Arabidopsis thaliana: one gene and its partners. The protein of the gene in region 2 binds, or shares a complex with, the protein of the main gene of each other region. Each region holds a gene or a part of one and is shown on either strand. Other genes may lie near its edges. The genes, in order: AT3G44240, AT5G11350, AT5G10960 and CAF1b.

Region 1 (6,729 bases), on a different chromosome or scaffold from region 2:
ATGAATTATGTACTCAAGATGATAATGAACTCTTATATTTGTATGAGATACATTCCTATAAAGCGAAGCTTTTTAGTTAGGAAAACCTTATTGTCTCTAATCATTGCATCGTTTGAGGATGTAAAGAATCTATAAGTTTATTCTTATCTGTATCACCAAACTTGATCCATTGGTTTCACAATCCGAAGGATAACTCCGTATTAAGAGATGCCTAAATCAATCTAGCTCTAGATACAATTAATTTTGATTTCAAATCGAAGAAATCACATCTATATCTACAAAAGATAAGAGACGAAAGGGAGGACCTTACCTAGAGATATACTTTTAATCCCTTTCAATTACATAAACTTAAGCTTCGACTTTAGGAGTAAATAAATATGGAAGAGGTCGATTAGGAGTAAATAAATAAAATATGTGGATGTTAACTTTGTTAAAGTTTCCATCCAATTCCAATATAAGTCATCAACTAGATAAACAAATTATACTTTTTAGTGTTTTCAAATATAACAGATAATCCAAAAAAATATTGACATTTCTATCTGTGGTCTTTTACCAATTTCTCGTTTCCCAAAATTCAAAATTGTCATAAATCAATTGAACTAGAAAATATCTAGGTGGCAAAAAAGCTTAATATTTGCAGTTGATGTATACCAAAATTACTCTATGATATAAAAATATGTTAAAAAAGTTAGTCCTATTTTAGGTTACTGATGGTGTAAATCCTACTATATTATTTGGGAAGTACATTTTAAATATAACCTTAATTTTTGTAAGTAATTACATAGGTATGCCATTAGGAATAAAATTTTAAAGAGTAAATTAATTTATCTCTTTAAGGATTAAAAAGTCAAATACTAATTTAATTAATTAAATTTAATTTAAAAACGAAATACATTATTAATTTTCAAAAATAATAACCAATCAAAATCAACATATAAGATTTGATATCTAAATTTTAATTAATTTGATTTAATTAGAAAAATAAAATACATTATTAATTTCCAAAAAAGTAACCAATTAAAATCAACAAATTAGATTTGATATCTAAATTATCATATTAATGTTTTATTAATTATTATAATTCACTTCTCATCTTTATATGATTCTATTTTTGCAAAAAAATAATATCATCATTATAAAAAAATAATTAGAGTTTTTTCGCATATGCAATAATTAGAATTTTTAAAAACGAATATAAACTGTTAAATACATGAAAAAATATTATACCGGGTGAAAAATAGATTTAAGAAAACTTTCTACTGAGTAACGGGTCATAATTTGAAATATTTATATTTAATTTCATACATATTATATTGAAAATTTATAATCTTATATACTATAATAATTTTTATGTGTATGATGTGATTCAATTTTTAATACAAGCTAGAAAATCCTAGAATTGACGGGTTTAGATCGATATTAATATAAGATGGTATACTACAGGTGAAACTCTTAAATTAACAATCAAACTACAAGTGTATAATCTTAAACACTAAACAATATAGATAATATCAACAAAACATATACAACTCACAGTTTACTATACATTTAAAATTAAATAAAATAATATCATATATTTTTAAATCATCTTTACAATAAAAGTTTTTAGTTTAACTAAAATATAAGCCTACCTGCGGTATACTACAGGTTAATATCTAGATTATAGGGCTTATTGGATCTAAAGACGGGTCATCAAAGATTTCCTAAACTGAAGCAAAATATACTGAATACTCAAATATCTATCTGTTACCAAATTATAAACAAATAAGTTCGTAAAACAATTTAATATTTTATATACAAAATCAATTAAATCTTAATCACATAAAAATTAGCACAAAAAAAAGTATTCAACAATTAAAAAATTATCAAATCTCTGTGTTATATAAGTTTTGATACTATATTCGAATAAAGTGTAATATTCCTTTTCGATTTGTATTCTTTAACTAATTTAAGCTGACTAATATATTTGTTAATCTTATACCTATCAAAACCGACTATCGTTTTTTATCTCTATAGTATTTTTGCAACATTTGTTTGGTGGATTTGGGTAAAAGTGCATTCGGGTCATATGGTACATTCCCCTATTAAATAAATATGGTGTACTCCTATGTTATCAGCTAAAATATTTAAATTATAATTCAGAGTCATATCATTAGTAAAATTAATATTAATAAAATAAATGGCTTTTTGGCAAGACGGATTTGGAGTGACGGGTTTTTGAATCAACATTAATAAAAAAGTAAAATATAATTAATCCACTGTTTCAATACGGGTTAAATCTTTAATTTATTATTTTTTAAGATCACTAATATTAAACATATCAAATCATCCTAATTTAGAAAAGATTATATAAAACCAAAAATGTTATGTGGTATGTATAATATTACTATATATATAATTAAATTATAAAATATAAATGTATTAGAGAATATACAATTTACAAAACTTTTATATATAAAAAAGAATTCTTAAATTTTAAAAATTACTACTTTAAAAAAAAAATCACAGGACGGGTAAATAAATTATAGAACAGGTTTTATTTTGGAATTGGGTTATATGGTGGATGTATTTGAATCAATATTTATAAAATTTTAAATTATTATTATGCTGTTGTTTTAATAGGGGTTACAACTTCAGTTTTTTAACAATTATCTCATGGATTCGTGGTATAGCGTTATTTAATAACAATTATAAACTGTAAAATATAAATATATTTTAAAATTAAAAATTGCAAATTTTAATATATATTACTTTTAAAATCGTCCCGCGGTATACCGTGCGGTATACCGCGGGTTAAAATCTAGTTTATAGATAAAGCCAATACATTTCCTTGCTAAATTCAACATACTAACAACTAGATTAGTAGAGCTACAATTGCAAATATACCATTCCTTTTACAATATAATTATTTTAAAATAGGTTTTACTAGAACGATTCATCTTAATTAATATAAAATAGAAAAGAAAGTTTATTTTTAAATTTTTGCCTTTTTAACATTTGTAATCTTATCACACTAATATTGTGATGAATATATTAGAAAGTTATTTTGATTTTAGGAAATTGACAGTCTAAATTTTATAGATACATGAACTCATTTACGGACTAAATTCAACATACTAGCAATAACAGCTACAATCACAAATATAGTATATTCTTTTTGATAGATTTATCTGAAAATATATTTTTCACTAAAACAATTAATCTTAACTAATAAAATGGAAAAAGAAAGTTCATTTATGAATTTTTGTCTTTTTAACAATAAGAGTCTCATCACATTAATATTGCTAGTGATGAAATATGTTGAAAAATAGGTTTACTTTTGGTAGTAAACCAATAAAAGAATAATCTGAATTTGTAGCATTGATTTCTTATAATATTGTGAATTTTAAATACCTGAAAGGTGAATTTAAATGATCAGTAATTACAATATTAGTCTCGCAAGAAAACAAGAAATTTCCTTTTCCAAAACCGAAATAACTAATAAAATCAAATCCAAGACTTTTGCGGCGGTGACAGACTCTATAAAGAAGTTTCAGTCCCAAGACTCCCTCACATTATTTTCTCTCGCTCTCGAACAAAATGGTCGTGAAATCTGGAATTGAAATAGGAACAAGGAGATGAGTTTAATAGAAGATTGTCTAAGAAGCTACCGTTTCATTGCAATAGACACAGAGTTTCCATCTACTTTGAGGGAAACTACACAACATGCGACAGATGAGGAACGTTACATGGATATGAGTTTTAGTGTGGACAGAGCAAAATTGATCCAGTTAGGGCTAACTCTGTTCGATATCAATGGAAGAATTGGAGGAACATGGGAGATCAATTTCTCTGATTTCGGAGTTGACGATGCTAGAAACGAGAAATCCATTGAGTTCCTTAGACGCAACGGTCTAGATCTAAGGAAGATTAGAGAAGAGGGCATCAGAATCGAGGGTTTCTTCTCGGAGATGTTTTGGATGCTGAAGAAGACGAGGAGGAATATTACTTGGGTCACGTTTCATGGATCTTACGACATCGCCTATTTACTCAAGGGTTTCACCGGAGAAGCTTTACCTGTGACTTCAGAGAGGTTTTCTAAAGCGGTCGCGAGAGTTCTCGGTTCTGTTTACGATTTGAAAGTCATGGCGGGTCGATGTGAAGGACTAAGTAGCAGGCTTGGTTTGGAGACTCTAGCGCATGAGTTCGGACTTAACCGTGTTGGTACTGCACACCACGCCGGTTCCAATAACGAGTTAACGGCGATGGTTTTCGCTAAGGTACTGTCTCCGTTTCCTCTCTTTCTTCGTTTTGGTTCTTTGGAGTTAAGAACTATAGAAAGTGAAGCAATAGTGTAGTGTGTGTGTGTGCTTTGTGCCTTTGTCTAATCCTAAGACTGATCAATGATATATGTCCGTTCAATTATTTTTCTAGTAATGAGATGTTTTCAAGACTCAAGATACATTGAAGATGGAGAAGTAGCAGCATACACCAAGAATAATTTGACATGGCCCAATTGAACAAGATCATTCCCATCCTTTACCATGTCTTGTGATCCTAGCTTGTGTTTCTGCTGTGTATTGATTTGTGATCTTAATTCAACACTAGAACTTTTTCTTCATTACATGTTGACTTGACTAAAATGTTGATACTAATATACTACACAATCATTTAGATGCATGAATGATCAAGTTCTATTCTGATTGATATTGTCTTCATAGAACTTAGTGATTAACTAAATTTTATTTATACACTATTATTCAAATAACCATTTGTATCGTATTCTCATTTACATGGCTTTGATAGAATTTAGTAATGCTCAGTTTATATAAATTGCCAAATATGATACCAAATATTTGTGCCTCGTCATAGATCATGAATTAAACTACTGTATATGATTATCTAGTTATTATTTTTATTATTTTAATTAAGTCCGAACTGTATTTAAAATGTTTAATAAAAATAATTTATTAACTTCAAATATTTCATAAATATCTCATACAATGAGCTCACAGGCAGAAAAAAAGAAATAAAATATTCAAAATCTAAAGTTCCTACCTGCTATTTTTCTGCAAATTCTCTCACTTCACTAGATATTTTTTGATTAAAATCGAGAAAAGTAAATGGTTTAAAGATGATATTTTCCGATTAGTAACCACTTTTGAGGAAAAAAATGAGTAGGAAAATCGTGTTCCTCTTTGTTCCTAATTTTGTTTTAGCATTTGCAAGGTATTTTTGTTCCAATTTCAGACATGTGGGTCCTACATTTTTCCTCATCATTCCTAAAAAAAAAAGAATAATAGAACAAAATTGTTTCACCCCAAAATTGTAGAGGAACCAAGAGTAACAAAAAAAATAAAATTCGTTTTTATTTATTAAATAAATTTAAAATAGCTTTTATGATAATATTTATATTTCTATATATAATATTTTCCATGTCTTTAGTATATATTGATATATAATTTTTTTTATCAAACTTTCAATTTAATGAATGTTATGAATTTATTTTAAATTAGTATAAATAAATGTTTTAAAGTGAAATTTATTTTAAATTTGCAAAATAATTTAAAATTTTACTATAAAATAAATAAATGTTTTGGAGAGAAATTTATAATATAATTTATTTTAAATTTATACAGAACTTTAATTTTAAATGAAATTAATAAACAAAATTCAATAAATAATTTTTTAGTAATTGTTATGTTAAATATTAATTCACCTTTTTAGTTACCATTTACCATAATCATTTTGTTCAATTCCTATGTTCCTCCTGGTTCCTACTTATGACCATTTTCCTTTTTCTTTCTTGTTTCATTTTGTTCTTTTTCATTCATATTCCTATCGTTCTTTTTGTTATCACCAATCAGAGCCAAAATAAATCTTTATGTTTATGAGTTTATCAGTACGCTAAGCACTCGTAAAAGCAGTTTTTTCCTATTTATAAACTATAAAGCATCCTCATTGAGGATGCTTATGGAGAGTCTTTAAATATAAAATGAATACAAATAGTAATAGTAAATAATTGAAAGAATCAAGAAAAGATGTGTGTCTTTCTATGGACACTAAAACCTTTTAACACTTATTTAAAGATATTTTCTTCCATGTATCTCATTTTAAATGGTCAGTCTATTTTTGATATTAAAATATTAACTATTTTGGTCTTGAGACATTCAAAAGAATGGTTCACCAATGAGGATGCTCTTATACTGCATTTAATGCAATTATAAATTAGAAAATAAATAAATTTTGGAATATTACTTTTCAAAATATTCAAGAACGAGAAATGATTAAAATAATATATATTTTATTTCTTTTTTCACTTTTCTTTTTAAAATTACGTAAAGGATATTACCGTAATCTTACACCCAAAAAATATTACTTTCTCAAGTTCTTGACTTTATGGACAAAAGTAAAAATTATAATCGCTTTGGATTTGTTAGCTAATTATCCCTTGATATGTACCAAAATTACTCTATAATATCAAAATATGTTAAAAAGTTATTCTGATTTTTAGATAGTGACCATCTAAATTTTGTAGATACAACCAATGCATTTAGTAGCTAAATACAACATACTAGCAATTACAGCTACAATCCCAAATGTAATGTTCTTTTAACGAAATGTTTATCTAAAAATAGATTTTACTGAAACAATTCATCTAAGTTAATATAAAACAGAGTATAATTTTGAATTTTTGATTTTTTAACATTTTGGGTCTCATCACATTAATATATCTAGTGATGAAATATG
Region 2 (9,606 bases):
GTAAGTCTCCTTCAATTTCAACAGTTTCTTGAGTTTCCACAACTAAAGTCTTAACCTTTACATTAGATTCATCTTGTGACATTGTGAAAGACAGAAACTTATGTCCCCAAAGAAACATGGTCTGAGGCAATGCGTTATACAGAAGAGATTGAATATCTGACCAATAAGCTGCTCGGAAATCAAAATCCTCATCTCTTGTTAAAATCCTTGTCACTTTCTTCTCACTATCAGTTGTCTGATTCTACAACAAACCCACAACACACAAAAAAAGTTAAAAACTTTAGGTAGAGCTGGAAAAACTAAACGCCGATTGTTTCAATTGTCGAACTAAACTCAGTGTTCTTATTACCTGATCAATCGAGAGAGGCAAGGTGATTTCATCTAAGAGCTGTGGAGTAGTAAGCCATGATTTGATGATCTGCCGAGCCTGAGGGTCGAGTCCGAGCCCAGCACCAGTAGGACTCCCAACAGGAGGTTCGGAAGATTTCTCGAGAACCAAAACATCCCAGCATGCTAACGTGAGCGAGTGTGCGCAAGATAAGCCTGCTATACTTCCTCCTACTATGATCGCTTTCCCTTTCTTCTTCCCCATCTCATCAAATCAAATGTTTCTTCTGCTTCACAAATTGTTAACGATAAGAGAGAGTTTCAACTTAATGAAACCTCTGGGTGGATAAGAGGATTAGAACTATGTGGGATGATTCCAGGCCCAATATTCCAAGCCCAATCGTTTGGTCATATAAATAAGAAACTGATCTCTGTTGTGCGTCAAAACTATGTATTAGAATTTCATTTTGTCCAGGCCCAGAATGAATTATAGGCCCAATAGTCTATTCTCTCTCCCACGAACATTATTTATAGATTTTTGGGTTTCCCCTAAATCTCGAGCTTTTTCTTCCCTTGATTTCTTTGGTCTCTGTCCGTACGACGTCGAATATCTAGATTGTTCGACGGCGATGGGAGCTGGGAGAGAAGTCAGCGTATCGCTAGATGGAGTCAGAGACAAAAACTTGATGCAGCTTAAGATACTCAACACGGTTTTGTTCCCGGTTCGTTACAACGACAAGTACTACGCCGATGCAATCGCTGCCGGCGAATTCACCAAGCTTGGTTCGTCTTCTTCTTACTTGATTTTTCTTAATTTCTGTCTCTCTTTGCTTTCCCCAGTAATTCCTGCTTAAATTTCTTAATGGGCATGTGCTATTACGATTTCACGGGAATGTGCCTCTGAATCAGAACTAAAATTCATCGAATTTTGGTATTTTTGCTCTCAGATTTCTGTCTTTTTACCTGAGCGAGCATTAGTAGTCGAGTTTGTTCCTTTAATAGGAAAAGTTTGCTTTGGGGGGTTTATGATGAACTGTTCTGTGATTAGGCTTGGTATACTCTACAAAGAAAGTACCTTTTGCAATCCTGCTTTCCTTTGGTTGTTTGTTTAGTTGGTTCACTGGTCATTGTAATAGGTGTGATTATCTGTGTCTTCTCTTTTGTTCGGTTCCGTGAATTTATTTGACTGAGCCATGTTTTATTTAGGTTCAGTACTAGTGTCTGATACTAGGAAGAAGATGATTTTATCGGTAATATTGGTAGAAGCCTTCTTTCTAAGCCTTGAATGGATCGATTTTGTTTGCTTTCTATTGTCTGTTGTTTCGTAATTACCGATTCATGTTTGAACTTTGTGGTTGATGACATTGATGTTGACAAAGTATCATCTTGATCGTTGTTTTAAGTTGTTTGACTATATGAATACTGCATTCTTTTGTTCAACCAAGCAAAATTTTTTGTATGTTAAGCATGTGTACCTTGTAATCTATCGCTGATTGACTTATATTATCTTTCGAGAACATGGTCCAAGACTAATTTTCGTATTCACAGAATTTTTTCAAGCTCACTTTTGTGAAACCCTTGGTTGGAACATCTTTTGCGTCAACTAGTTCTTTAAATGTACAATAAGATGTGATTATGAAAGTCTAAAGACTGTTAACAACGTCTTAAATTTGGTACTAACTATTTCATTGCAGTTGCTTGGGTAGTTATGTTCTTGGTGTTACATATATTTTCTCTAATTTGTGATCAAGGAAAATTCTTCATGTTCTAATAATGGATTGACTTCCTCTCAGCATATTACAATGACATATGTGTTGGAGCTATCGCCTGTCGGCTGGAGAAGAAAGAAAGTGGGGCCATGCGAGTTTATATAATGACGCTTGGTGTTCTTGCACCCTACCGTGGGATTGGCATTGGTAAGTCATAAATCTGCTGTGCAAAACTTGAATACCGACAAAACATGAATAATGAAGAAAACTGTTAGCATGTTGTGTAATTCTGTTGTTTTCCTTACGTTTTAACACATGAGGCCAGCTGTAGTATGTTTATTCTGTAGTTCTCTATTTGAAGTGTCTCCATTTAGAGATTCAAACCACCAAGAAATAGTCCTTAGGGTTTTATGCATATCGTTGTTTTACCGAGAAACTGGAATTATGATTCCTCCTATATCAAGATTTAAGATCGAATTCCCTGCTTTAGAAAGAAAAACTCGATGTCTATAATTTGTGTATCTTGTTTTTTTCGTCTTTTGCAGGCTCAAATCTATTGAATCATGTTCTTGACATGTGCTCCAAGCAAAACATGTGTGAGATATACTTGCATGTGCAGACAAACAACGAAGACGCAATCAAGTTCTACAAGAAGTTCGGCTTTGAGATCACAGATACCATACAAAACTATTACATCAACATTGAGCCAAGAGATTGCTACGTTGTCAGCAAGTCCTTTGCTCAATCTGAAGCCAACAAATGATGAAAAATACCAAACTTGGGGAAGCCATTCCTCCCCAGTTTCTTTGTTGCATTCAGTTCAAGATCTATTAATGTTATGATGATCCTTCGGTTTCCGAGTTTTGCTTGTTTTGTTGACCTTAATTTTTCTTACTGATTCTAAATTTATAAATTCCTGGTTATATACTTGCATGATTTCTCTAATGTCCTCTTGGCTTTGGACATTTTCGTTTGGAAAAGTTTTTAACTTTGCAACTCAAAGCTTTACTACCAAGTATCATCGTGTTTGTAAATGTTGGTCTATGAATTTGAGTAAAGAGAGACAATGATTCTTGTTATGAGCTGTAGAATAAAGTAAAGAAAAAAATGAAGAATTTATGACTTGCGTTTTGGCTTGCGTGCCATTTATTCACAGTGAAGACTGGAAGATGTGTTCTTCTTGAATCAAAAAACGGCACGTCTTATGAGTCTCCGTTCATCGGTGTCTGCAATTAAGCACCGGTTCCTCGAGCTTCCTCACTCAATTCGATTGACCAATGCGGCGTTCTCGTTTTGTTGCTCAAGTTTTCTCCGACGTTACCTTCGCTGACGCCTCCACTATCTCTGCTCCAATCTTCACCATGTCTACTCGTGCTCCGGTAAATTTTCTCAGCTATTCTCTTGTTCTATCACTCCCGCTGCGTTGCTTCGGTTACTGGAATATAATTTGTTTCTTACGAAGCAGTACAGAGGTGCCCGAGGACGAGGACGAGGCCGAGGTGGGAGAAGTTTCTCCGATCGTCCGTACAATGATGACGCGGGAAGAGATCAGTTCGTTACTGGAGATTCTCATTTTCAATCAGTTCATGACGCCAATTTCCGATTCCGGCATGGTGAACCTTATCGACAACATCAGCCTCCGCTTGATCAGCGGCAGCAACCACCGTTCAATCAGAATTACGAATTTCGACCTCCGCCGCCGTCACGAGGTCAGTGGCAACAATTCCGTCAACCTAATCAGTTTCCGTCTAATCAAAACTACGCGGCTTGCCCTCCCCCTCCGTTCTATCAAAACCAGATGTCCCGGCCGCCTCCACAGCAGAGCTTTCGTCAACGGCCACGGTCAAAACCTTCAGATTACCGTGAATGGGAATATGCCAAAACGCCACCGTCTCCTGGCTCCGGTAATTTATGCGTGACCATCTCATTTGCTCCGGTATACAATTTTTGATTTGCTTTCTCTTGTCTACAGAAAAGTTTGTTGTTTTATCGTATAATATATTGGCGGATTACCTTGCAAATGATCACTGGAGAAGTCTTTACTTTCACATACCGAGGAATATGTTGAGTTGGGGATGGAGAAAGAGCAAATTAGTGTTCGAGCTTAGCCTATGGTCTGCAGATATAATGTGCCTTCAGGTTATAGTTTCTGCTATATCTTCTTGGTAATTGCTTGTATGAGGGACTAAGGAGACAAAACTTTCTTGCTTTACTATTTTTTTATCATATGTATACAGAATGTATCTTCCATATGTATAGTAATCTAAAATTATTTTGTATATGTCAGGAAGTTGATAAATTTCAGGACTTAGAGGAGGAGATGAAGCACCGGGGATATAGTGCTATTTGGAAGGTAGGTTTGTTGAAAACTTTTAGTTGTCTTGAGTTTGTATTCTCTACGGACTCTCTTGGAGTAAAGATTAAATGGTATGCATCATAAGAACTAGGCTTCAAATGTGGGGTTAACTCTATTTTATAAAACTGTAGATGCGGACTGGTAATGCTGTTGACGGATGTGCAATATTTTGGCGATCCAATAGGTTTGATTCCCTTGCTCTTCCTTGTGTGGATCAGTCTGGAATCTTGTTTAGGATTTCATTGTTATCATATTAGATTCAAGTTGGTTCACGAGGAAAGCATCCAGTTCAATCAACTTGGTCTCCGAGATAACGTTGCTCAAATATGTGTGCTTGAGGTAATATGGATACCTTATGTTGATAGTGACTTATATACATTTGCCTCTTTGCCCTAAATTAAATTTGCTCTGTGTAGACATTGTTGACTTCACATACAAAAGAAAATGAGACCCCTCCACCTGAAAGGTAACTTAAAAGTATCTGTAAATGTTACTATCATATCATTTTATGGGTGGATAATTTCACTAGGAAGTGGCCGATTTTCTTCAGATTTCAGTGGTTTTCTGTATGGACTATACTTTGTGGGTGGGTTGAAGTGAATTACCAATTTCTTTTACAGCTCTGCTGGTTCCCATCGAGTTGTCATTTGTAACATTCACGTGCTTTTTAATCCTAAAAGAGGAGACTTTAAACTTGGTCAGGTACTTTCCTTTAATGCCATATTCTAGTTTGTAGAAATCTTTTGCCAAACGACAGTTTTACTCTCTGGTTTAACTCTGTCTATACGCTATGAACATGTATAAGTGTTAGGTGTTTGAGATAAAACTTTTGAAACCAAACGCTTCGCCCCTTGCTTAACTTGGTTTCTTTAACTGTTTCCATTTATCATCTATGTATTTATCTCTGTTACGTAGGTCAGAACACTCTTAGATAAAGCTCATGCTGTTTCAAAACTCTGGGATGATGCGCCTATTGTTCTTTGTGGGGATTTCAATTGTACACCAAAGGTAGGACAATCTTACCTTAACCAGTTTGTATACCCCAAAAAACTTGTTTTGTGACATGGTCATAACATTCTTCCACCTGGTTGCAGAGTCCTTTGTACAACTTTATTTCAGACCGGAAGGTAAAGCTTCATTGTTAGGAAAGTCCTTCACCTATTCGCAACATTATATATATGGTTCACATTGTGTCTTGTGCTGCTCTCTGCAGTTGGATTTGTCTGGTTTGGCCAGAGACAAAGTTTCGGGGCAAGTTTCTGCTGAGTTTCGTCCACCAAGGCCAGAAAATTATACAACGAGGTAGAGCAAACTCACCAAGTTCTTCGACATCATTAAGTATATGGTTATGCAACTTAACACCTCCATGTCTACCCTAGAATATCGGGTTCTACTCTGCTTTTGCAATTGTCAGCATGGTTGATAGGCCTCCTCAATTTTCCAGGTATCAGTCCGCCAACAAATCTCCACAAGGTCAAGTTCAACCACCAAATTTGATCACAAATGCTCATATGGAGAATAACTCCAACATAGATGTTGGAACGGCCCCCTCCGAGAAGACATCTGAGCTTCCATGTGGTGATACAATTCTTGCTGGTCACGAAGCCACCTCCAGCTCTGACCAAGTATTACCATGCGAGAATATGGCCTCAGATTGTCAGTTTGGAATAGAAAACAGAAAACCTGATGATTCCGGGAATCTCTCGACAGCTGAAGATCTTTCTTCACTAACCATATCAGATACAGAACCTCAACATGCTTCCAGTGCTAGAGAAGATTTGAATACAGATCGTTCTGTAAGTTCCGGTTTATCAGAAACAGAGCAAACTCCTGAGGAAATATGTTCCAGTGATCAAGATATTTCATCTAGTCTCTCCACCAAGGTTGACACTTTTGTGGCTGAAATGAAACTAGATGGCTTAAAATTGGACGAACCAGTAGTATTCGCGCAAGATGAAGAAAGTTTAGGTGAAGATGGGGAAACCTTTTTGGCTAAGCTACACGATAACAATGAAAACTTGAGTCAAAAAGGGGAACTTGTGAGTGAAGTTCCACTTAAATGGAGTTCTGAAGCTTTAAATAGTGACAAAATCACTTATAGTCCATCCTCTTGGACTCCAATGGAGATAGCAACTGCAACTGGTGACCCAGAGAGAACTACGGTTGAACATGCTCTGGAGCTTAAAAGCACATACTCAGAAGTGGAGGTATTGTAATATATCCTCCCTACAGTTTTTCCCTTTTATCTTCTGTTTCTTGAGAAATTATATCCTTAGGAAGCTGTTGAAATTTGTGGTTAGGGTCAAGCAAACACAAGGGATGAAAACGGAGAACCTGTAGTGACCAGTTATCACAGATGTTTCATGGGGACAGTTGACTACATATGGTATTAGCATTAGAAGCAAAACCATTTGTGACAAACCTTAAAATTAGATTACTTCATTATTGTAAATTATGCGCGTTTTGACATATTCTCATGTTTGATTTCTGGTTTGGGTTAGGCGGTCGGAAGGTCTTCAAACAGTGCGTGTGCTTGCTCCAATACCAAAGCAAGCAATGCAGTGGACTCCAGGCTTCCCGACTCCTGTAAAATCCCATGATATTCTTATATAGCCTACCTTTTTAACTGAATTGTTTACAAAACTTTTTTATGTTTGTATTTCTGGTTTGTTACAGAAATGGGGAAGCGATCACATTGCACTGGTTTCAGAGTTGGCCTTCTGCAGCAGCAAAACTCTGCCCAAAAGCTGATATTAAACTGGTGGTGAGTTCATTAGAAATCTAAGAAAGTGTAAAGAGATTAGATGGTTGAGGTCTTGGGTTCAAAGCACATCCTTGTTGCAATGTTTGTGCTCTGAAGGTCGCCAATAGCTTATTTTATATCCCAGCAAAACATCTAAGAGTAAACTTTTACAGAATCTCATAGGCTCTAGTTTTGTATTTTTCTCTATCATATTTTACAGTGACAAATTATATTTGAGTTTTTCTTTTTGGGCGACACTCGATTTCAGAAAATCTGCTATAAAAGTTTAAAGCATGCTTCTTGATTTTAAATAGCTTCAATTGTTAACCCCTAACTCTTTCAGCTTTAGTCTAGACTGACTCTTTCAATTATTACAAATAAACACCTAGCATTTATCCATGTCCCTGTGTCCAATATAAGGACATCTCACATTAGGACCTAATCCCTGCAATATAATTCAGAGCATCCAAAACTTCTTGCATCAATGGTCGTTTCTTCTTGTCCCGATTGGTGCATCTTTGGATGAGTGTGACAATCTTTGTGGCCGCATCCACAGGATAATCGCTTCCTATTCGGGGGTCGATTATTTCCCCAATCTTATAATTATCGGGCAAGAAAGACCCAGTCCAATCTGAGCTTTGATTCTTCAAAGCTGTTGATCTATCTTGTGAACCAACTAAAAGCTCAAGCAAGATCACGCCAAATATGTCCTATCAATCAATAAGTACACAACACATATAGAGACAAAAGAAAAATTTAAATATGTTGAGTAAAAAAAAAAAGACAGACTTTACTTACCACCCACTCTTGTAGAGCCTGTGAACTGCCATGAAGATATTCGACAACAGAAACAGGGGTACCGGTTTTAGTTCTTGATGGTGCAAATGTGGTGTTATCGATGTAGCCCTTGTAGAATGATCGAATATAGTGATCATCGCGAATTACGACCCTGTCTTGTCTGGATTTCTTCGTTGCTTTCATCCATTCCTTGAAACTGAAGACTCTCAGATTCTCGCTTTGTGCCTCCACTTCTTCATATTACATATATAGACTTGAGTTACGTATTTTAAAAACATTACATGTAAACAATTGTAAAGTGAATTTATAAAACAGAGATGTACCTGGAATTAGAGGGACGGTGAGAGGCTGGTAAGCAAAAGAAGAAGGTTGTTGCTTGAAAGGCTTGACAATGTTTCCCATTGTTGAAGATACAAGGGTTCAAGGCTTGTTTCTCAATCTCTTTGGCTCTCAAAATCGGAATGGAATTCACAAGATACTTACTTCTGGTTTCAAGACATCTTGTTGGATTTTAAAGAGGTCAAAAAAATTCAACGCTTTGAAAAAGTTATGTTGAGACAGAAAAAGAAACAACCACTATTGATGACAGCAGTACTAGTTACTAAGCTCGGGGAAAAATTCTTAAAATCAAGTAAAGAATCTCAGAAAAGTGGCAAGACTCAGTTTTAGTAAGTTATTGACTTATATTGCTTTAGTTGATTACAACTTTTTCTGTAAGACACAAGTAAACAATTTCAGAAAAAGTGTTGTCAATTTCAGTAAGTTATTGACTTATTGCTTAGTTGATTATAAATACAGAGGCTCTAAATGGAACTTTGAAACGTATAGGGCACAGAAGAACAGTTGTTATTTTTGAGTAAAAATGTACAAAAAGACAAAACCAAAAACGCGTTTATTTGCTTTCCTTCTCTTCTAGTAAGCTGAACTGAAAAGCTATTTGAATATATATTTTTACTCTTTTTTCTCTTTGTAAATTCTAATAATCGAACAAAATATAACGAATTTTCCATATAAAAACAAGTCATTGGTGATATATTAATTTGTCTGTAAAACGTATTTCATTAAGATTTGTGTTTTTTCAAGTTACAACTGAAAAAATAAAAATATAGCATCCATTTGAATTTATTTTATAAAAATAAATAATTCTTTATTAAATAGCAAATAACTTTTCTCATTTTTTTTTGTAAATATTCTCTTTTCTATACACTAAAGTCTTTACAATATCACATATTTCATTGATTTTATTTCATTGACTATGTAAAGATATTCATTTATATATACAATTAGTATTTTTTTTAATTGAAAGTTAGTACTAGTATGTGACTCTGTGGGTCGATCCATTGGCTGGCCCACGAGGTCCACTACTTAACCGGTCTGAAAGTTTTATGTACATACCGCATAAGAGACCGGTAAACAGAGCGCTCTGTTTTTGTTTCGTTCCTAGGGTTTTAACAAATTGAAGGATTTTCTAGGGTTTGGTTCCATTGGTCTGTTTCAATTGTTTGTGTACGTAAGATATAGACAAGATCATTGGGTATTCTGATGATGAATTGCTCGTGAAGATCTTATCGTTTCTTCCAACAAAAGTTGCTGTAAGCACGAGTATTTTGCCAAAACTTGACTACGATAACACCGTCAATTTTGATATGGAGAAAAGCAAGAGGATGGAGCTT
Region 3 (7,904 bases), 160 kb from region 2:
CCACCACACCCTTATAGAATCTGCAAAACCAAGAGATCTGTAAGATTGACCACAAGTAACTGATAGTAAAAAAGCCCTAATTTTTTCAATAAGATTGGAACACTCACTTGCTGTCCATCGGCCACCAAACTCGTATCCTTGAACCCACCAAGGCTTCACCATATTTACGAGCATCAGAAACCTAGTAAAGTTCAATACTTTAGAGCAAATTCGCATAGAAAAACTAGTAATTCAAACCAAAGAAGAAGAAGCGATAGTTGCAAAACCTTATCCTTCCCAGAAGAACGAGTTGAAGAAGAAACAAGTCTGTTCTTGGCTGATGAACGCTTCCTAGAACCAACCATCTTCGAAAGCAATCAAAGGAAGAAGAAGAACAAGAAGGAATCTGTGTTTTGTGTTTGTGTTTGGTGTAAGATATTTTTCTTACAGCGCAGAGAGAGATTTATAGGAAGAGAGCGAAGAAGAAAGAAGCGGTGAAATTGGGGGTTTTATTTAGGTTACCAAGGGGTGTCATTTGGGGGATTTGAGAGATTTCTTTCCCCTGAACTAACCAACGACACGTGACTTTACTAGTTAAGAATTACCTCTCACGTGTTTGACGACGACCACATCTTTTCTTTGCTTTACTTCTATTGGTCTCTTCCACTCTTCTTTTTTTCATCTTTTTCTTGTTAAAGGTCTTCTTTTTTTTTATCTTTAGCCAGTTGTTATTTACCTATTAATGTTTTCTGCCAGTAATTGGACCTTCAATATCCAGTGTTATCAAGTTAGAGGAAAAGATATTTATCCTAGTATAGTGCTTTACGATGACTAGATGATGATCCTCAAATTAATATTAGATCACCGGAGTTGGTCCAAAATAAAATGATAGAAAATATGGTCATATTATTATGAACGATATATCTTCAGATTTACGGTCTTGGTTTTTAATGGTTTTCTAATAAGATTATTTTCTCTGAAACGTGATCAAGAACTAAATACTCGTTTTTACGAGTGAACTTAACGTTTAGTAACTTAACAGCTATGAGCCTTCTTATCTTTAAGTGTATCTTATAATAGATCATATCGAAATGTTACCTAGAGTTCATGTAGAATATGACATTTGTTTTATCAAGCTGTTCGAACATTTGTAGGAACGATCTAAACATCTCTAAACAATCCAAAACCCATAAAATTAAACAAATATTTGGTACTAGATGATTTACCTAATCTAAATTATATGTGCACGTGATATTAAAGAATTTATCTACGTTAAATACATGCAACTGTTTAAATAATTCTTTCTAATTTAAGTAACAAAAATTTCAATTTTAGTTTCTATTTTCGTTTTTTTCGATTTTGATTTTAAATATAGAATTCTATTTAGATTTTAGATGAGCAAGCAATTACACGGTGAGACATATTTTTGGAGGGTAACAATTAAGTAAATTTTGTTATATATATAAGAACAATTATGCAGAAACTTTCATGTTTGGTATGTGTTGGATTCCAGAAGAAATTTCCTAAAAATGGTCGGATGATGAAACCACCATCTAATATTTCGTGACTTGACATTACTTGTTTATTTTTTTTAATTTATAGAAAAAGGTACACAATTATTTGATATAAAACAAGCTAATACATTAGTTTATATAAAAACGAATTAATTATTACAAAACAATGGATTATGCTTGAGGGTAAGTGGGAAGCACGATGATGCCTTGACTCCGTAATAATAATTAGAATTAAAATTCCTTTATCCCCTTTCTTCCTAATAGTTGTCTTTTTTTGTAAAAAAAAAAAGAACTTTGGTCCTCGTTTGAGTTGGAGAATCTTTTCATGTAATAATTTTAAGAAGAAAAACTGATTACGCTGGTGAAACTTGAAAGTTTTTTTCTAAAATAAATAAATCTAAAATGATTCTATTCATGAACGAAGATGATTGTAACAAGTGATGCATGTATCTCTATCAAACGTCTTCCCATTCGTTGTATGATTGCATTAATATTGGCCACTTGTAACTTGTAAGGTAGAAATCCCAAAGTCAATTCTATTATAATTAAAATTACTTTGTTTTGTTTAACAATTATGCTAACAAATCCTTCTTAATAACAAGATAACATAAATCTAAAATCCTTTTTTTGAGTTGAAAAAAAACAAGATACCATATTTTCAATTAATTGGCAGAACTACATAGGAAACAAATCCGAAATTGAAGAGTTTACATAGAAGAAAAAAAAACAGAAATAAAAGAGTTTACCTGGAAAATAATCAAATATTATGTTCTTTCAAATTTTCGACAAAAAAAAAAATTGATATTCTTTCAATTTTGTGAGATAATCAGTACAGAAATTATTAAAATGTGATATAAAATTGCGAGACAATCCGTAGGAATATTATTACCAAATGATATAAAACTGAGTTAAAATTGTAAGAAAAAGAAGTTTTAAGGTTCTTCAAATCATCTAGCTGACTAGCTCCATAGCAAAAATAAATAATTTTGATTGTTTATTAGCACAATCTGTTTCTTAACCATATAAATTTAGACTTGTACAAAAATCAAAATGCAGTTTAGTTTATACAACTTTTCCTATAACTATAAAGTTCGATCGTCATAATAAGGTATAACAATTTAACTCTAGTACCAAATGCTATAAAATACATAAAATTTAAGAATAATGGAGGTAGGTCTACAAAGCAAAAGAAAAAAAAAAGATCATGGAAGTTACAAACGAACGGAATTTCCGTGATACACATAAATAAAAATTGGTCATCATATCACACAATTCGCATCATTAAAATAATTAGAAAACGGACAATACGGATAAAATAATTGGTAACTGGCCAAAACGTAATGATTGATGTAAGAAGACGCACGGCAAAACGTCGTCGTATAAGCTTTTCATCGTCAAACAAAACGGCTTCGTTTCAAGGCTCACACTTGTCTTTATTTATCACTTCATCTTCTCCAAAGCCATACCACTTGAAACCTCTCTCTCTGGTTGACCCGATAATTTCTCTCTCGCAGACGCACAGATCTCTCTTCGAATCTGCTAGATCTGTTCCTTTTCTTACATCTGTATTGCGAAACCTCTGGTAATTTCATACTTTCATGTCTCTCCGTTTCATTTCGATTTTCGTTTCACAGCTAGGGTTTGCTTTTTGTTACATCGATTTCTGATTTTCCTGGTGTTGTTGCCTCTTCCTCAGATCGGAAGGTTTCGTTTACAGATCTACCGATACGAGTTTCGCAGTATTTCCGAGTTCCGACGTATGCTTTGTTTTCAGATCTGGGTTTGTTGTATATCTAGAAATGGCGGAGACTTTGAAAGAAGATTCGATTATGATTCGAGAGGTTTGGGATTACAATTTGGTTGAAGAATTCGCGTTGATCCGTGAGATTGTTGACAAATTCAGCTATATCGCTATGGATACTGAGTTTCCAGGTGTGGTTTTGAAGCCTGTTGCTACTTTCAAGTACAATAACGATCTTAACTACAGGACTCTCAAGGAAAATGTCGATTTGTTGAAATTGATTCAAGTTGGGTTAACTTTTTCTGATGAGAATGGGAATCTTCCGACTTGTGGGACGGATAAGTTCTGCATCTGGCAATTCAATTTCCGTGAGTTCAACATCGGTGAGGATATCTACGCGAGTGAGTCTATTGAGCTGTTGCGTCAGTGTGGGATTGATTTCAAGAAGAACATTGAGAAAGGTATTGATGTGGTTAGGTTTGGTGAGCTTATGATGTCGTCTGGGATTGTTTTGAACGATGCTATCTCGTGGGTTACGTTCCATGGTGGATATGATTTCGGGTATTTGGTTAAGTTGTTGACTTGTAAGGAATTGCCTCTCAAGCAAGCTGATTTCTTCAAGCTTCTGTATGTGTATTTCCCTACGGTTTACGATATCAAGCACTTGATGACGTTCTGCAACGGACTGTTTGGTGGATTGAACAGACTTGCGGAGCTTATGGGAGTGGAGAGAGTTGGGATTTGTCATCAAGCTGGGTCGGATAGCTTGCTCACCTTAGGGTCGTTTAGGAAGCTCAAGGAACGTTATTTCCCGGGATCAACTGAGAAATACACTGGAGTCTTGTATGGTCTAGGTGTGGAAGATGGTACTACTACTACTGTTGCTAATTAAGAAGAAAGGAATGAAAGATACTTTGAAAATTCCAGGGAAGTGCGATTAGATATATTTCTTTAGTCTTTGTGAGTGTGAGAAGACCAAAATAGAATCGTCGTTGTGTAAATTGGCAAATTGGTGTTAGTAAGTGACTTGTTGTGTCTTTGTTGCTTTGTTTTCAGGAAAACCCCTTGTGATCAAAATTTGAGGGGTTTTTGTTTTAGCTTGAGTTTCTGAATGTATATCAATTCAGCTACCCGTTTATTTAATAAATAATCTCCAATTTTAATTTTTCTTCTCTTTTCTTTTTGTGTGTGTTTTCTTCTTACTAGTGACCAATGTAACTTGACAGTGGCTTCTTGTAGTAGCGTTTGCATGTCTCAGCTTGCAGTTACTGTGTAATTCTTTGTAACCATACCAGTTTGAAGATGCAAACTGGTAAGTTTTATGCTTAAGAGAATGTTGAATCTTCCTGTGTTCTTCTTTCCCTCTTCGTTGATACAAGTTGATAAGGAGAACAATGAACTGCTTATGCTAGAGGTTATATGTGTTACATTGTTTAAAAAACAGAGCTATGGTAATCGATTGATGTATAGATTTGTTATTTAGGTGTTTATGATGTAAGTGGTATCATGTCATGGTTAATGTGGAGGAGAATCACATATGTATGCTGTTGCATTCGCCAATCACCTCAATAGCCAATTTATTATCATATTGTCAATGAGTAGCATTCTAATGCAATCAATGTTTTGTTGGGCAAGTATTCAGACGTCATCTGAGTCGCAAGTGGTACAGAAGATTACGAGATTTGACTGATTGAGACGTCGTAGCTCATTCAATTGCCGAAGAAAAAAAAAAAAGTATCAGCCTGTTGGAAGTATTATGTCAAAATGTGGATTTGTGTATGAACTCAGTTTCCATCAAGATAATTAAATCTAAGTTTCTCAAAACCTTAAATATTTCATTACACGAACTTGTTTGATGATCGAAAACATATGATCCAATAGCAACACGACACGAGAAATAAAGTAAAAAGAAGAAAACAACAGCAATACGGCAAAAGTCCGAGTCACTATTATGTAGGTGTGGCAGAGAATCAAATCTACTTCTTATTACAGAAGAAACAGTGTACTTGCTAGTCCTGTCTTTAACGGCTTCTCTGAGTCTCTTCACGTGTGTTTGTGTGTTGGGAATTGGGATTCTGATTTGGGCCTTTGTTGTGTGGGCTTTGATCAGAGGTGGGAGAACGTTTTTACCAAGGTTGAATTGGGATTCTGATTTGGGCATGTTTGTTGTTTTAGGGTTTAGTTATTATCAAATGACCACTATTGGCTATTGCTTTGCTTTAGGTAACCAAAAAAACGTTACATATTTAAATAAAAATGTGTAACACAGTGCGGACGAAATAGCATCAAAATTATTTATATACATATCAGATATGAATTGAGTTAATTAGTGTCTAATTATTATCTTGTGGCTGCCATATGTCTTTTTTGAACTTGTTCTCGTTGAGGAAAATTTGGTATGCCTAAACATAGTATGTTTATCAATTTGGTTGAGACCAGCAAAATATCAGTGCCAACCCTAATTATAACGATTACTCATCAACTTATGATATACATATCCTTGTGAATCCAAAAGAAGCTGTCAAGCACCCACTTTTATTTTATTAGTTTTTTTTTCTGTTGATGTATAGTACTTGATTGCGGAAAAAATGGTAAGTAACTAAGTATGATTAGGGCTATTTGTTATTTTATTCTTCAAAAATGAAGAGTAAGGTTCAGATGTAGTTTTGAAATATACTTTTTGCCTAATTTTGGATGAGACAGACAAATCTAATCAAAAAGATTCAGCTGATTTGTGATTACTGGTAACACAAATAGTGTTTATATTTGTAATCATCCATGTGGGGGTGGTTTCTCCTGCACCACTTGTCTCAGTTCCCCTTACGCAATCATGTTTCTTGTTTTTAAATGCTAATGTGATACCTATACAGTCTTAAGTTATTATAAAGTTCATATTAGTGTACATGTAAGAGACTTATAAAATAATTTGTAGTCAATCAAATTTTTAATTGATACTAACAATTGATCCACCGAATCAGCTTTCACAATTTCTTTAATTGTAGATCGTTTGTAACATTGGACCCACGAATTATATATAGGTCGCATTCGACAAAATACTCAACATACTTAAACTAGTTGTCCTAACAATTAGTTCTTTGGATTTTACTTGCCTATTTTTATATTTTCCGGCTTCCACCACATATTAATTTATGCTAAAGTTTTCGAGAAATCAAATACTGAAGATTCGTATCCCGAGCAAGCATAGATGAGACGCTTTGTCGTTTCACTTTGTTTTCCCACCCAAACCAGAACAAAATTTATTGGCCTTCGAATATTTCGGAAAAAACAAACAATATTCATTTAATGGACTTGTGAAAGAAGGGTGATATTAATCTTTAATCATGTCACTTAATTGATATGATAAATATTCAAGTGAATCATGTAAAGTGGAAATCACTGTGAAGTAGAATGTGTCCTAAGGGAGTTTCGTACCTTTCAACCATAAAATCCGGCAAACTATTAAGGATTCCAATGGATATAAAGATGAAGGAGAGTGTGAATGTGAAGCAAACTTCAAAAGGAAGAAGTGAAAAGAGGACAAAAGAGAGTTAAACAGTGGAAAGCTAAAAGGAAACAGAGATGACCACTTTCATCTCGAAGTTTCAAAAGTACACAAAAACATCAAACATACCTGAATAGTTTCACTTGGTCCACTCTCTCCTTATCTCTCTCTCTTGTCATTGAGCATCCTTTTCAATTTCATTGTCACTTGTTGTCATCTTCATCTACTCCGTGAATATTACAACAAGTTGTCGTTTCATCCAAACAAATAAAACCGGTCCCAGTTTCAGAAGATCTTTTGAACTGCCAAGCTTTCTTTTGTCTTGTTCCCCCCTCCAAATCCTTTTTTCCTCATACAAAAGAGTCTATAAAGTCTCCATTAGTTTAGAACTAGTGACTACTACTGTACATATTCTATGTAAGATTTGTAGGTTGGGCTAAGGTGGGTTTAGTAATTTCCTTACACATATCCGCGGCTGCATACAAAACTATACCAAATGAAGACGAGTTGGGGCCTATTAGAATCTGTCCACAGAAAAACAATGAATCCATCAATCAGAGTGGATTTAGCAAGCAAATATCAAGCATAGTTCAAAAGTTCATGAACTCACCAGGAGTCCAAGACAAAAAGTAAATATTCATTGGGATGGCTTTCTTGAATTAAGCCCAACTCTACATGTCATTGGCATCAACCTGGGTATAAGAAAAAGAAATGACATGTATACTTGTTTGTTGAAGAACTTTTAAGCACATAAAGGCAATAGACTGAGAGAACAGGAAAAAAAAAGTTAAAGAAGATTATGCATGATAGGGAATAGAGATTGGTGTATTGAAGGAGAAAGCAGCCCAAAAAAAGGTTGATGTGAAGTGAAAGTTGCTCCTACAAAGGGATAAACACAGGTATTAATTGGTGGAGTTCCAATCAGCTTCAAGTGTTTTGTTGTGTCTTTGTGTGTGTGTGTGTGTGGTGTGTCAGCAAACAAGACCTACCCATCTCTCTTTCTCTATCTCTCTCATCTTCTTACTACTTTTCTCCACTTATTACAAACTCCAAAAGCATTTGTACTGAGTCTATACTTTCCTTATATAGCATCAACTTCTGCTCCCACTTCTGTGAAAAAACTAGACTTTTATGCTTCTTTTTTTCTTAGGCTATATAGCTATTAATC
Region 4 (7,256 bases), 3.7 Mb from region 2:
ATGGAAGTGAGACTGACATTTATATTGTGCTTTTTTAGTCAATTCGAAGAGAGCTTTGAGGACATTCCTCAGGCTGATGAACCTTCAAATGTTCCTGATGAACCCTCTAATGTCCCTGATGTACCTTCAAATCTTCCATCAACATCTGGTCTCCCTGAGAACCATGATGTATCTATGCCGATGAAAGAGGAAAGCACCGAAAGAAACATGGAAACACAGGAAGTTGATGATACGCAAAGAGTTTACTCTGACATCGAATCTCATGACTTTGTCGATGGTATCATGAAGATTGTTCCTCCAGATTTGGATGTAAGTCCCAACTGCTTCCTCAGCTTAAAATTTTCACCAATGTACATAATCACAGTCTGGAAAAGTAACCATATCTAAAAAATCATGCTTGACTTAATTCATATTTACCTGTATGTTACATTATATACAGATGGGTGTAGATTACTGGTTTCGATCAGAGGTAGGCGAAGTCAGCATCACAGACATGTGGCCAGATGAATGTATCCTTGATTTCTATCACTTTCTGTGATTTAATCTAATCTCTCTTTGAGCTTTTGAGTTTTTTCCTCCCCAAATATGATATCTGTTTAGAGCTCCTTGACTCTTTCATCATTAGCTGGACCAGACTGGAACCAGATGATTACATTTGATCAAGACCACGCTGGACCGAGCGACAACAAAATCTTGGAGCAGCCACAAACTCCATCGAGCCCAACACCAGAAGAATCCACTGCTACGAGATCACCTACAGGTAGCTGAAGTTACCATACCACATTACAAGCACCACCATATATCTGTACATAGAATCTGATTTCGGTGAAACCAGAGTTAATGTTGTACTTGTACAGTAGCTGCATTGCATTATCATAGAATAGAGATTGCAAAATAAAAGTAGAGAAACCAACCCCTTCGTTGTATTCTTCATTTTTTTTCTTTGTTAGCTTCTCAGGCTTAATATAGAATTAGCCTTAGCCCATTGATTTCTTAATATTGGTCTTGTTCATGTGAAACTGCAAAACCTTTTAGAGTTGTAGACGGGTGCTTAGTAGTTTTACATGCTCCATTTCCGGTTTACCAAAAAGGTAACCAGATCGAAACTAAAACATATTTCCGTTCATCAAAAATCTTGACGAAAACATATTGGTTCGGTTGTGGTTTGAGAGATTTCTTTTTGGTTCAAATCGGTTTCTATGTCCAATCCTTTGATATCACTCGAGATAGTTTCTTACAAATGATATCATATATAACTTTGAATTCACCTCAAGATGGTATTATTTTCCTTAAAAAAGAAATCCATCAAAATTGTGCATCTCCAAAGCAATGAGCAATGCTGAATCTCCAAGCTAAGTTAAATGAAAAAAAGGTTCCTCTTTTAACAAACTTTCCCACACCAACATCCTCACTCAATAATCTCAACTTGTTTTCTCTTCCTCTAGTAAAAAAAAAAATGTCTTTCAAGAAGATGATGAAGTATATACTCAAAACCATATTCAAACCCATTTTTATGGCATGCGGTTGCGGCTCTACCGTTCCACCTTCCTCTCACAGCCACTACACCCCGGGACCACCGGTTTCTCCCACGGTTTTACGCAGCCCATGTCCTAAGATCGATGAGAGCGTCGCGATGGCTAAAGAATCAATCAATCCGTTCGAAGATTACAAGAAGTCGATGAATCAGATGATCGAAGAGAGATATATCGAGACGGAAAGTGAACTTAAGGAGCTTCTAAGGTGTTTCTTGGACATAAACCCTTCTCCTCAACACAATCTCATCGTCCGTGCTTTTGTCGACGTCTGTTCACATCTCCAACCACCACACGACCGACGTGGGAAGTCACTTGGGAGATTGCTTCGTCTATATGTTAACAATCCTCTTGATAACAATGATGATGACTCACACCAAACTTCTTCAAAATGAGGAACTAAATCCTCCTCATATCTCTCTCTATATATAGATGTTACAATATTGTGAATAATTTCAATTTATGATTCCATGACTAGATGTAAACTATTAAACAACACCAACAAAAATCAAAGTTATACCTCAAAGCCTAGCTCTAACGTAACGATAATATTTTACTGCACAAAAAGTTTTGAAGTGTAAATTGGTTAAACAAAACCAAATTGAGTTATTTCGTTTTGGTTTTTGGATTTGGTTAAAACGAGAGATGAATAAGATAATTTCGATTTCGACTGTATAAATGATTAACAAAGATTAATTAAATTAATTAATTATAAATCCCTCAAAAAACCTCTAAACCATACAAAACTCCGGCGTGTTTCTCCGCCCCATCCTCAACGAAATACAAATCCCTCATCCTCTGAAACGCCTGCCACGTCAGCAAACTATCCGAACCGGCTTGATGACATTTCCCAACCGCCCGGTTAACTTCAAGAGACCGAGCAACCCGGTCCAAACCACCATACAATCTCTGCTCACAAAACCTCATAATATGTTTCACATCATAAACCCTATCACCGAAGAAAGCTCTAAGCAACCCTAAAAACTCACGCAACGCCACCGGAAGCTGCCGGCGCGTGAGAATCTTCACAAGGTAACCAAAATCATACGCGCTGTGAAACGTCACCCAGCTCACAGACTCGTTACAGATCAACCCCGATGACATCATCAGCTCCGCGAACCTCTCCGATTCAACACCTTCGCGACGGTTCCGCTCGAAATCGATCCCGTGACGACGGAGTAGCTCGATCGAATCAGGAGCGTGTGGATCACGCTCCACGTCGAAGTCACGGAAATTGAATTCCCAGATGTATCGACGGTTTTTTTGACCGCCGAGATCTGGGAGGTTTCCGTCGGCGTCGGAGAGAGTAAGACCGACTTGGATCAAACTTAAAGCGTCAACGTTGGATTTGAGAAGATTGTAGAGATAATTAGGGTTTCCACGGCGGAGAACGTCGAGATCCGCCTTGTAAATCACGCCGGGAAATTCTGTATCCATTGAGATGAATGGGTAATCTTCGACGATTCCTCTGATTAGGTCAAACTCTGACTCGAGATTATAAGCCCAAACGTCACGAATCACGATCACATCGGAGAGATCTGCTTCTGATTTGATCATAGTTTCAAGTCCCGATCTTTTAGGTCTTCTTCTTCGTTGTGAATTTATCAAAAGTCTGTTTTTTTTTGTTGATTTGGTTAATCTGCAAGGTTTAGTTATATATATGAATGTGAGTAAGAGAGTGTTTACGAGGAAGGAGAGGAGAAGAAGTGTGAGAAACGCGCACGTTTATGATTCAATGTGTTTCTTGACTTAGTCTAAGTTGGCTTCTCCTTCGTGTATCGAATTATTGCAATTCAAGTCGTTGTATTTAAGTAAGTACATTAAGCCGACAAGAATAAGAAGGCCAAGTACATTAAGATTTTCTATTGGTTTTTAAGAGTTGAATAAAACATGTAAACGTTACGACTTACGACCAATGAACTTTATCAGGAATATTGCTATATTACCAATAAACACTGAATATGTAACGACGCACTAAAAACGCATTAAAGGGTTGAATCATTAGATTATGATGATGTCTACACGTATCTGATTGTGCTTTAATGTTTTCACGAAATTGTAGCAACAGCGAAGCCTAGGTTGAGCCCTTTTCAGTTTTCATTGTTCCCTAGTTTACTCATCGAATCTCATGACTTTGTTGGTAGTGTTTAGAAGATTGTTCTTCCAGATTTGGATGTAAGTCCCAATTTCTAGAAACAATATCACAAACGTAGATAGTCCGTGGAGTTTTCCATCTTCAGTCAATATAATAAGAAACTTTTTAGGACGTTGACCTTGAACAGAGTTGTTAAACACATGACTGTTTTTCTTTCATTTCCTTTGTTTGCAATAACTTGATATTGTTCCATGTTAATGAAGAAATAATTTATTAATTCCAAATGCATCAATTGTAAAACTAAATTATTTAAATTATGTAAACCTTCTTTTGTTTGTAATTTTGTTTTTGCATCAATTGTAAGCCTAAATTATTTAAAACACTACACACTTCTTTCTCCGCCTTGTGTTGTGAATTATTTTCTGTTAAAATTTAACTGCCTTTTCTTGGAGACAAGCCTTAAGGTTGTTGTCAAGTAAAACTTGGAATCACGGTTGGAGTAGATGACGTCACATGAGTCATCAGGGGAAGAGGAGAGCGACATGTTGATAATGATATTATTAGAACAGTCAGGCTCCAGAGGAGGCAAGGATATGACTTTGTGATTCAACATGTTGGTGATATAGACGCAGGAGGGATCATTAGAATTCACGTTGATCGAGGAGTATAATTTATGTATTATGACGTAATGATAGAAAAAAAGAAGGTTTAATATAACATGAATGATTTAGGGTAAAAAAGAGAGAGGAATAAGATGTTGATCACAACTTTGACAAAGAAAAATGCGAGGCACTTCCTCATTGTGTTGAACACCAACACACCTTGTGTGTTGCCATACTTCACAAATATCACAACACACCATTCTCTCTCCATCTTCTTCCGTTGCTCCACACTCACACTCTATTCTCTTATCCTTCTTTTTATCATCATCTTCATAACATTTCGTCACTTCAATGTTCATCATCATTCCTACGTTCCCTTCTAACACCAATCCCTTATTCCCATTCAAGGCCATTTCATCGACCCTTGTGATCTCTATTTGACCACCCACCACTGACTCCACCACGACGTCTCTTAGTTCCCAATAGATATCTCTAAACACTCTTTCTGCCTCTCCGTACACTTCACTCAATGTTGCATCTTTCTTCACTACAATGCATTCTTGTGGAGGAACTTTTATCTCGTTGTTATGATGATGACATTTCCACGCGATCGTGCAGAATATTCCTAATTCTTCCCCTCGATCTAAGTGTAACGTTTTCGCCGATGTATCTCTAATGTAGTGATACTCTTTGATGAAGTACTTAGCGTCGAGGATTGCTCTTGAAGCCATTCCGATTTGGTTCAATATACCTCCTATGGGGCCTAACACTCCCTTGTAGTCCATGAGAATGTGTTTGTAAAAATAAAACATGTCTTTCATAACTTGACCTCTTGTGATCTTATTGTGACCGTTTGTCGCCATCTTCCCCATTGAGTTTTGGTTTTGAAGGGTTATGAGTTCATTGTTACTACTTGGTAACAAATTTGATATATCCTCCAAGGAATACTCTAGCACTTTCTTCACCGGATTTAGACTACGTCGGACCAAATAGTTTCCAACCACCTGGTTCCCAAGCGACTTCAACACAAAATCAAGCAAACCAGTGTCCCCAATGTAATTTCTAGCTGCATCCCTCACTTCTTGTCTCGATATCCATCGGTATTCGACTCTTTTCAGTGACTCTATGACCACTTTGATAGCCATTTGGATCCGTTTTTGAGACCATCTGCAGTTGGTACTATCAATGGAGATGATTTGGTTTCGGGAGTTACTCATGTAGTTATCTCTTGGAAGACGTGAATGGAGATGAAGCATGAACCTGAAGAGGTCACTGAGAGTGATCAATGGCTCGGTGGATAAACTTTGGTACTTTGACAAGAGGATTGGAGTTTCTCGGTTAAGGCTGGTTAGGTGATGGTTAAGCAAGCACAAGGGTATGTTACGGACCGACTCAAGTGCCTTCTCGTAAATCTTTTGAGTCACTCCGTATGTCCCTGACCCGAACCGGTAGCCCCAACGACCGAACCATGGCTCTCCTTTTGCTACCCCATGCAGCAGCCTCAACTCCATTCCTTTTTTGTGCGACGCGTCATTCAACCCTATTTTCCTATATGAACAAAAATAAAATGACTCATTATGTGTAAATCCAAATTAATAGCTAGGAATAATCCATTATGATATGAAAACTAACAGAATTGTGTTGAATGGTTATTGTGTTGAATGGTTTATATGATATACAAATATATAAAGTCTAATTAGTACCTGGCCTTTAAACCGGTGCAGAGCCGGTCCCACAAATCCATGACCTGATGACCGGTTAAGTCGGAGCCGGTTTCAATGCCGTTGAGAGAGAGCAAGTGACCAAATCCGTTGGAGTGAAAGAAGCCGTGAAGGACATGGCCTTGAAGCTCCACAAGATGGGAGAAACTTTCCTTTTCGGGAAAAGCGTAGCCTCCACCTTCCAGTTTTAAAAAAGCCGCCATTGTTTCCTTTGAGGGGATCACGAAATGGTACTTCTTGTTGCATATCATTTGATTTCCCCAACCTGCAAGGTTCCGTATAAACCATTGTATAATATATATTTTTGATCTTTACATAAATGCATCACTTTTAACCATATATTAAATTATTATTGCTATTTTTGTTCATAAGTACGTGTAAGCTTGTATATAGATATATATGCAAGAAAAATGCTTACATGTTGAGCTAGCTAGGTCAACTCTTACTAAATTTTCAGCTTATGATCTTAGGTCATATATAGTTATATACGAATGTATTCACATGCATATATAGATAGATACGCAAAAGAAAAATTGTATACAGAGAGAGAGAAGGGAAAAGAGAGAGAGGACGTCACCAACATATTGGCAATGGTTGCAACGGAGATTGAGAGAGGCTTCGATGGGCTCTTCTACGACAAAGAGAAGAACATAGAGAGGATTTGGATTTCGTTGAATCTCGAGCTGAAAAGACCAACTTCCCATTAGACCGGAGCTCTCAAAGTGACCAAACTCAAGTAGTTTAGCGAGGTTATCTCGAAAAGACAACTCGTTCATCTCAGCTGGATGTCCAGACTCTCCGAACGTCTTCAGCCTAAAAACTCTACTTTCCCCTCTCTTCCTCTTCTTTGGAATATGTTGCTGATGGTCTGTTCGAATCAGATTCGCCATCGAATCAGAAATTTGGTTTGATCTTGAGAAGAGAGGGAATAGGAATATGATAGATTTGGATATATATTATGATGGGGTTTGTTATAAGAAGAGACCGAAAAGTGTTGAGGAAGTGTGTTAAGGGTTTAGAGATATAGTAGTCATTAAGATGATGGTCACACAATTAGTGCTTTGTGGTGATGAAAAGGAAAAGTGAGTGAGAGAAAGAGAAAGGTTAATTAAACTGTGAATTAACAATTGTTACCATTGGATTGTATGTTAGGTCTTGATATGTGCATGACTTGTAACATTAACAACTTTTCTTTCTTAGCCAAATAATTAACTATTTTTCAAAAAAACATTCAAACCCTTCTTATTCCCAAATCTAATTTCATTTCTAAAAATACTTCTGTAATATTCGAAACTGGATTGATAAT

What was found.
Region 1: AT5G11350 (region 2) and AT3G44240 share a complex: the UniProt entries of both Arabidopsis thaliana proteins name them as parts of the CCR4-NOT complex.
Region 3: AT5G11350 (region 2) and AT5G10960 share a complex: the UniProt entries of both Arabidopsis thaliana proteins name them as parts of the CCR4-NOT complex.
Region 4: AT5G11350 (region 2) and CAF1b share a complex: the UniProt entries of both Arabidopsis thaliana proteins name them as parts of the CCR4-NOT complex.

The regions. Positions count from the first base shown.
Region 1 is NC_003074.8:15,936,567-15,943,295, forward strand, and holds AT3G44240 (Polynucleotidyl transferase, ribonuclease H-like superfamily protein), read left to right. Parts: upstream 1-3,617; coding exon 3,618-4,337; downstream 4,338-6,729. UniProt on the Arabidopsis thaliana protein: Ubiquitous transcription factor required for a diverse set of processes. It is a component of the CCR4 complex involved in the control of gene expression.
Region 2 is NC_003076.8:3,618,270-3,627,875, forward strand, and holds AT5G11350 (DNAse I-like superfamily protein), read left to right. Parts: upstream 1-3,249; 5' UTR 3,250-3,313; coding exon 3,314-3,415; intron 3,416-3,498; coding exon 3,499-3,940; exon of another isoform or gene 3,941-3,947; coding exon of another isoform or gene 3,948-4,008; coding exon 4,009-4,175; intron 4,176-4,323; coding exon 4,324-4,389; intron 4,390-4,523; coding exon 4,524-4,576; intron 4,577-4,649; coding exon 4,650-4,731; intron 4,732-4,808; coding exon 4,809-4,858; intron 4,859-5,012; coding exon 5,013-5,094; intron 5,095-5,307; coding exon 5,308-5,400; intron 5,401-5,486; coding exon 5,487-5,519; intron 5,520-5,605; coding exon 5,606-5,694; intron 5,695-5,836; coding exon 5,837-6,599; intron 6,600-6,692; coding exon 6,693-6,778; coding exon of another isoform or gene 6,779-6,785; intron 6,786-6,893; coding exon 6,894-6,978; coding exon of another isoform or gene 6,979-7,005; intron 7,006-7,068; coding exon 7,069-7,143; downstream 7,144-9,606. Other genes in the region: AT5G11330 (FAD/NAD(P)-binding oxidoreductase family protein), read right to left, coding at 1-241, 350-592; AT5G11340 (Acyl-CoA N-acyltransferases (NAT) superfamily protein), read left to right, coding at 957-1,110, 2,121-2,243, 2,582-2,799; AT5G11360 (Interleukin-1 receptor-associated kinase 4 protein), read right to left, coding at 7,567-7,845, 7,934-8,166, 8,257-8,335; AT5G11370 (FBD / Leucine Rich Repeat domains containing protein), read left to right, coding at 9,580-9,606. UniProt on the Arabidopsis thaliana protein: Acts as a catalytic component of the CCR4-NOT core complex, which in the nucleus seems to be a general transcription factor, and in the cytoplasm the major mRNA deadenylase involved in mRNA turnover.
Region 3 is NC_003076.8:3,461,289-3,469,192, forward strand, and holds AT5G10960 (Polynucleotidyl transferase, ribonuclease H-like superfamily protein), read left to right. Parts: upstream 1-2,809; 5' UTR 2,810-3,075; intron 3,076-3,189; 5' UTR 3,190-3,292; coding exon 3,293-4,126; 3' UTR 4,127-5,026; downstream 5,027-7,904. Other genes in the region: AT5G10950 (Tudor/PWWP/MBT superfamily protein), read right to left, coding at 1-20, 108-181, 267-344. UniProt on the Arabidopsis thaliana protein: Ubiquitous transcription factor required for a diverse set of processes. It is a component of the CCR4 complex involved in the control of gene expression.
Region 4 is NC_003076.8:7,363,353-7,370,608, forward strand, and holds CAF1b (Polynucleotidyl transferase, ribonuclease H-like superfamily protein), read right to left. Parts: upstream 3,448-7,256; 5' UTR 3,090-3,447; coding exon 2,253-3,089; 3' UTR 2,125-2,252; downstream 1-2,124. Other genes in the region: E2F1 (E2F transcription factor 1), read left to right, coding at 39-309, 440-509, 626-768; OFP10 (Ovate family protein), read left to right, coding at 1,337-1,927; MS1 (RING/FYVE/PHD zinc finger superfamily protein), read right to left, coding at 4,355-5,777, 5,933-6,215, 6,528-6,840. UniProt on the Arabidopsis thaliana protein: Ubiquitous transcription factor required for a diverse set of processes. It is a component of the CCR4 complex involved in the control of gene expression.